2 linked regions of the Tribolium castaneum genome follow. The protein of the gene in region 1 interacts with the protein of each later gene in a pairwise test. Links are inferred from orthologs where the notes say so. Each region holds a gene or a part of one and is shown on either strand. Other genes may lie near its edges.

What was found.
Region 2: the proteins of drk (region 1) and soma ferritin interact in a two-hybrid assay, tested with the Caenorhabditis elegans proteins (3 studies listed by BioGRID). The link is inferred for Tribolium castaneum from reciprocal best matches to the Caenorhabditis elegans genes sem-5 and ftn-2.

What each region holds. Positions count from the first base shown.
Region 1 is NC_087399.1:3,452,026-3,456,013, forward strand, and holds drk (growth factor receptor-bound protein 2), read right to left. Parts: upstream 2,713-3,988; 5' UTR 2,650-2,712; coding exon 2,572-2,649; intron 2,528-2,571; coding exon 2,430-2,527; intron 2,379-2,429; coding exon 2,259-2,378; intron 2,208-2,258; coding exon 2,042-2,207; intron 1,610-2,041; coding exon 1,436-1,609; 3' UTR 758-1,435; downstream 1-757. Other genes in the region: sta (small ribosomal subunit protein uS2), read right to left, coding at 1-249; Ucp4A (mitochondrial uncoupling protein 4), read left to right, coding at 3,267-3,297, 3,510-3,620, 3,766-3,988.
Region 2 is NC_087402.1:7,242,887-7,246,244, reverse strand, and holds soma ferritin, read left to right. Parts: upstream 1-1,505; 5' UTR 1,506-1,535; coding exon 1,536-1,640; intron 1,641-1,877; coding exon 1,878-2,102; intron 2,103-2,156; coding exon 2,157-2,345; 3' UTR 2,346-2,538; downstream 2,539-3,358. Other genes in the region: tetratricopeptide repeat protein 17, read right to left, coding at 498-608; gem-associated protein 8, read right to left, coding at 835-1,256, 1,317-1,440; soma ferritin, read right to left, coding at 2,551-2,790, 2,836-3,324.

The sequences.
Region 1 (3,988 bases):
TCCATAGGGACGTGACGAAATCACGAACACTTCTGACGGGTGCTCGATGGCGACGATGGCACGGGCCGCCAAAAGGAGTTTTTCCCAAGTTTTGCGCAAATTGATGATGTGGATTCCGTCAGCGCGCCGCTTGTAAACATATTGTTCCATTTGGAAGTCTACGTTAGTGGTGCCCACATGGGTGCCGGCGGCCAACATTTTGGTCACATCGTCCTCTTTGAGGCTGAGAACTTCCAGACCTCCCGACATCCTTACGTTAGAATTGAGTTACGAGTAACCTGGAAGATGCGTGAAAGAGTTAGGTTATGGCGGTGTTTCGGTGATTTTTGACCGAATTTGGGAAAATAAGCACAGGATTGTGTGGCAATGGGGCTTATTGAACGTTTAAAGGGGTTTTAAGGGCGGGATCGTTGATGATGGGTCAGATTTTTCGAAATTAGAGGGACTTACGTTGAAAGATGCCACTGGGATTCGATTCCTTCGTGGAAAAGGAACTTTAGTGCCGTGATGTTGGCTATCGCCACTTTTTCACCAAGTGAAATTGTGGTGCGAAATTTGAATTTCCTTTTTTGTTTTCGAGAAAAGCAGTAATTTTCAGACTTCCAAAATGTTAAATCAATGTTCAACGAGTGAAATTCATCTGAGTAAAATTATATCATAATACTTTTTCTAATTTTATGGAATTTCTAAGGAAAGTTGGGCAGGTCAGAAAATTGGAGTATTTATTTGGAGTTAGAGGAAAGCAATAAAACGGCTGTTATTTATATAACATATATTTACTTATACTCGCCTATTATAATAATGCAATATTGTAATAATAAAACTATGTTAGTATTTACATACAAAGTCTAAAAGTCAAAGCAAGAGAATGCCAAACGAATGAGTGTTGAATAAAATTCTGGCATAATCTCTAACGCATTATATACAAATAAAAATCTTTTGAAATAAACTCACGAATCTCCATAACTTAAAGAAATACAAAAAATGGCATCTGATTTGCTAAAAATACGATATTGTGTGCACTATCTTATAGGAAATTGGATTTAAATATTAAATCTTCGACGGAAACTAGCTCCACTTGCTCCTAACTGGTTAATTTCGTTGCATATCTGAACAGAGTAAAATGTAAGCAACCTGTCATACACTCTACCTAAAAAATTAAACATTATATTATATTCCATAACCTACTGAACTGAAGAAGATTAATAAATTTCACGTTTTTCAGTACAATTGATCCAATATAAAAATATTTGATCTTAAAACTACATTAAGAGATTTTCCAAAAACAATGAGCAATTAATAAAATCATCTAAACGATTATTACAAAATCACATAAATTAAAAACCAAGTAAAAAATCGCCCACAGTTGCGCAGGTTTTTCCAAGAGTGGTGGTGAAATAATGCCTTTGAGAAAATAATAATTAAGGGAAAAATATTATGTGTGGTAAGGCGTCACGTAAGTAGCGGGGAATAGGCCGCGACGGTGTCCGATCTCGCCATGCCACCAGTGCTGATCTGAGCGGTCCGTCACCGTTATTACGTCGCCCCTTCGGAACTCTAGCTCGCCGGCTTCTTGTGGAGTAAAGTCGTATAAGGCCTGCACCAAGCACTGCAACAGGAACGTCACAATTTGCCCATTTCTACATCCATTTATTCTCCAAAACAATTGTCAAGGTCAAAACTCCCACAAAAAATCATCGCAAATTTTAAATAATTTTTTCCTCATGTTTTTCATAAAAACTTTAGTCGACAGTTTTCCTCAGTCTGATGAGAATGCAAACTCAACATTACTGCATTTTTTCCGAGTTATTAGTGAATTGGTTGAATTTAAATTAATTTAAAACGATTTGGTGCTTGAAGCGCCCTCATTTAAGTCTACCGTACAATTTTTTTGGGTTCAGGAAATCCTGCGATTTAGTATCCTAACTTATAGTCCTCCGTAGACCAGACTATATATCAAATAACTACAGGGTGATAATGCTTATACCAACATGACTACACTGACAATTGTTCTGAAAATAAAGACAATACGATTCCGCACCTCTTCGGCCACCATGTCCTTCAGCTTGACGTCTTGTGACCGGGACACGGACGACGTGCGATGGTATTCTACTAATTCATTTAACGAATTGAATTTGACTACCCAGAGAAAAAATTTGCCTTGGGCGTCCCTTAGCACCTTGAAATGTTGCACGCCGTCAGAACACCTGCGATAATGGGGGTTATTTATAATTTTGGGGGCTAAAAAGTGTGTTTACTTGACAGATAGAGAAAAATCTCCTGGACTGGATTCACTAATACGTATGAGAAAGGCCCCTTCGTGCTTGTTTGAGAGCAGTTTTTCGGCGTCAGCTCTTGTGATTCTACCGTAGTACCAACTGTTCAAGAGAATTGTGTTATTATCATGTGACCCCTCAAGGTGTATTTACCTGTGGTTCTTCATTTCTATGTAATTACTAGGAATTAGGCCTTCTCTGCCGTCCAGTTCAGCTCTGTACCAGTTCATGTCGTCTTCCATATTCAGTATCTGGAAAAATGGTTTTAGGGCAAGCCACAATTTCGGGGAAGTACCTTTAGGACTTGAGATCTACGAAAACTAAGCTCATCGTCGGCCGTTGCGTTGAATTCGTGCTTCGCTATTGCTTCCATTGTTCAAGTTCGTCTTATCACAAATAAAAGCACAAGAGCTGACTCCAAAAAAGTTCAAATAGCACCGGCAATGTCAATACATTGGCTTCCTCCAACTAGCACTAAGCATCCGCTTTGTAATCTAACGAATAACACATTTCTTTGGAAGATAATCACTTTATTTGGTGTTTTTGTTGGGTTTTTACGCGAACCTTACGAGAACCCTCCCTTCTGTCACTGATGAAATTCAACACTGGAGGACAATCATGGCGGAGGAACACTATCTTATCACAGCCAATCGCTCTTATCGCGCAAACACAACAAACTCGCCGGCTTTGGACAAGTAATCAGGCGCAAAAGACGATAATCCGGAAAGAATTCGATACTGGGTACGGAAATAACAAAAAAAAGGTGAAATAATCCGGAACTACTTTTCGCCAGGGGCGCAGTAATCGTCTGTCACTTGAATCAAATTCTACCAACACCACTCACACGTCACCAACAATGTAGTCCCAAAAGCACTGCCGTGACAATTGTTATCTATAACTGTTCGTTATTTACTTAACTAATGAAGTTACGGAAGTTCCACCAAACAAATAAATGGTGAGTTTGCCATTAACTGGCCCCAAGTGGTGTCAATGTGTCAAAGTGACAACAAGTTGGTTGCAGGTTAATAGTGCGGTGTTGTCAAGTCGTCACAACAATTTTTTGAATTTTAATTGCCCTTTTTTTCATTAATTTTGCAATTTCCATTCCGCTTTATCACGCAGAAAGTAGGAATGAAGGCTTATTGTGTCTTTATCGGTCACGCTACGTGCACATTGCCCCCGCGGGAGTTTCGAACTTTGCCCTATGGGAATCTTATAAGACCGTGATTTCAGGCTTTTTGGTGAAGATGCCGCAGATTCCGCCCCCGAAGGAGCACAAGTACGTGGACTCGCTATGGTGCATGTACATGGTATCGGTGGTCGGAGCGTGGAATGCGGAGTTAGGTAAAAATAGAAATTAAGTAACTTTTGCCACCTTGTATTCCCTCAAAAAATCGCGCTTTATTTATAGAATAACTTGGCGTTTGTCGAGTCTTTCGTTTAAGTTAGTTTTGATTTATTCATCACCTGACCTTGACTCTCGTTGCAGTGACTTACCCGTTAGATTTGGCCAAAACGCGGCTGCAAATACAGGGTGAGGTCGCCAACACCAAAGATGCGAGCATGGTCAAGGCCCCGTACCGGGGGCTGTTCCGCACCGCCGTGGGGATCGTCTCCGAGGAGGGGTTTCTGAAGCTGTGGCAGGGGGCGTACGCCGCCTTGTACCGCCACTTGTTCTACTCAGGTACTCGAATTGTCACGTACAAGCACCT
Region 2 (3,358 bases), on another chromosome or scaffold:
ATAGTAAAAAATAAAATCTTAACAAAAAAAAATTTTTTACAAATAAACGGGTGGAAAAATCATCTACAAAACTGATTTGTAATTGTTAATTTTTTGTTATCGCTTATCATGTTTACACTTTACATAAATTCTAATAAACTAATAGTTTGGTTATGTGAACTGTTCAAGCACGTGGACAACAGTATCCTTTCGAAACTGTTACGTCTAACGCACTAGCAAAAAACTGATCTAGAATAACGTGCAATATCGTATTTACTTTTGATATAATTTTTTATCAAGATATTTATCACACAGTTGTGCACAGTTTTTGCAAGTAAAAGGAAATACGGGATTTGTTTATTTTAGGCAAATCCAAGTCATTTGGTTCAAAATGTATCGATAAAACACACGATTTCACATTAATACCTGTGAATTATTGCCAAAAAAAGATGAATAAAAGCAGAAAAACAATCGCAACATAACCTAAAATTCCCATTAAGGCCAATTTCGCAACTTACATGTGACTGAATCATGCCCTTTTCGGTGACAACCCAATGCGTGGCCCCATTACTTTTAAAAACAAATTTGAAAAACACAAAAAAAATCGTCCACAACCTTAATATCACCATTTTTACGAATCTTTTGACATTTATGTCTCTGTTTATGTGTTGTGATAATTCAACGCATGACAGCTCTCGTCTGGTATGCAACTTCTAATACTCCAACGCTGTGTGCGTTGCCAGAGGCCAAGAACTCATTAGAAATTAAATTGAAAATAATTCGTAATTTCATTAGGCTTGGCTCCTTCAATAAAACCAACAAATACAAAATTAATACCAAACTTTATTAGCATAACTAATTATCAAATCTTAGATTTAAAGGCGTGTGGGGCCAATGCGCCAGCTTGCCAGCGTCCTCCAAATGTAGGTCGTAATTCAACTGAACGGCCGTCTCCATCCCCATTATCTTTGATGCCTTTTTCCCATATAACTTATCCATTTCTTCCCGCCTTTTTTTCCCAACTGGCTCAGTAGGTAAAATAGGCCTCGTTTCCGAATCCTTATCTTCAATTTGTCCTTGCTCCTTCACATAATTTGCATAATCCTCCGTTTGCTTCGCATAAACATTACGAAGGTGTCTAATCAACATTTTATTCTCATATTCGAAACTCAAAGCGCGCGATTTCCAATAAGCAATTTGCTCCTGTTTGTGCCACTCAGCGACCTCTGTGGCCGGCGACGAAACCGGCGTCCATTCCATGTCGGTGATATCGACCACTGTAATGTCCGCACACAAATCGTCCGTTTTACGCTTAAATCGCAACTCCCGCAACTCACTGTAGTACCTCAGCAAACTCCTTTTTCTGCGAGAACGCCGGTTTGAGTTACGTTTGAAGGCTCTCCGGTGTTTTCTTCGAACACTGGTCTTGTTCTTCGAAATGTCAAGACCGGAACTAACCATCTTCCATTTTGTTTTGGAACTATGCAACTCACAATGCAACGTGTGTTGCGCAAGGACAAGAAACCAGTATAAGTGGTTGTCTAACATCGAGAAAAATGGCTCAATCGCAAGTTCGCCAAAATTTTCATAAAGACTGCGAAGACGCAATAAATAAGCAAATAAACGTCGAGCTCAATGCCTTTTACACGTATCTGTCGATGGTAAGCGTTTTTGCGTTCAGTGGCAATAAACACACTCATAAATCATGTTGTGTAAGCTTATTGATTTATTAGAATTTTTTTTTTCGTAAACACAATTTATTTTGTACAATTAAAAAATTTAAAAAGCTGGTAAATTTCCATCCTGAAATTTTGTTTACTGTTGCGTAACTTCGCACAGCCATAAAAATAAACACTTCAGGCGGTCAAGGCTGAGCGTTTGAAATTTCGCGCTTTCAGGCTTATCATTTCCAAAGGGATGATGTGGCTCTTCCCGGCCTGTACAAGTACTTTAAGGCTTGTTCGGACGAGGAGCGCGACCATGCCCATAAGCTGATGGAATATCTGAATAAAAGGGGCGGTCGTTTGGTCCTCACGGACATCCCAGCTCCTGAAAAGCAGGACTGGGGGACGGCTCAGGAGGCAATGTGTGCCGCACTAGACCTCGAAAAGCGAGTAAACGAAGTGGGATTTATTTAAAATATTGATTCATGTTGTGGCTGAAATACTGTGTTTCAGAGCTTGTTGGTCCTGCACAGTACGGCTTCAGGTCACATGGATGTGAATCTGTGCGACTTCCTGGAGACACATTACTTGCAAGAACAAGTTGACGCAATTAAGGAAATCGCAGATCATGTGACCAACTTGAAGCGCGTGGGGGAAGGCCTGGGGGTCTACATGTTCGACCGCACTTTGGCCGATGAATAATTTTTAAATATTTATGTTTCACCCCTAAATGTTACGCATTGAGTTGCAATATTTCCAGAGAAAAAATATATGTATACCACCGATAGACTGATAGAATCTCATGTGTTACGCTTACACTGAAATATTTTTTAACTTTAAGTGCTTATGTAACTTATTGTGATTAACGAAGTGATGAATAAAGCGTCAATTACCACCGGTTTTTTTTTTATATATTATCGAAAGGGAGTTGAACATGAGGGTGCCTTTTGGCCACAAATTTGAGAATTTCTTGGTCGAAGAGGTGTCTCCCGACGCCGCCAGTGTCCACCAGTCTCTTGGCCTTGGTCAGAAGGCGCCCCAGCTCACAAATTGACTCGTTTTGCTCTTTCATAAACTTCGAATCCACCAAATCGACCAATTGCTTGTCGTTGTGACACTCGGCAAGTTTCGAGAGCTCCTCCAGTTGCTAGAATTGCATAAATCAAATGAAACCAAACTTTACATCACTCACTTCTTTAACCCTCCGCTCCAGACCAAGGGCGACCCCTATTGCTATAGTTATATCAGTCCAATTACCGTCCTCAGGCACCGTAATCGGGAAAAGTGTGACCTGGCCCCCCCTCATCAACTGATACTGGATAAATTCAAGCGCATGGTCTTGTTCTTCCTGATACATTGCCCTAAAGTAAGACTGGCATCCAGGCAAGGCTATGTCAGTTCGCCCATAGTAACAAAACATGGAAAGGTAGACCATACTAGCGTTCAGCTCCGATAAAATTTGGTGATTGACTGCAGCCTCAACCTCCTCAGAGTAGTTGTGCCGAAAGGATTTGTTTCCTCGATTATTCGGCTTTTTGCCACCCTTGTCCTTACTTTTATCAGAGCTGTAAAGTCGCAAGTGGGAATTTATGTAACGATTTTGTAACAATGGACTTGATGATTTAATTTGGGGTAAAATGAGAGTCCGCGTGATAGTATTGAAGAATTTTCCGAAAGCCATAACCAGAAAGATTGTCACATAATGAAATAACGTT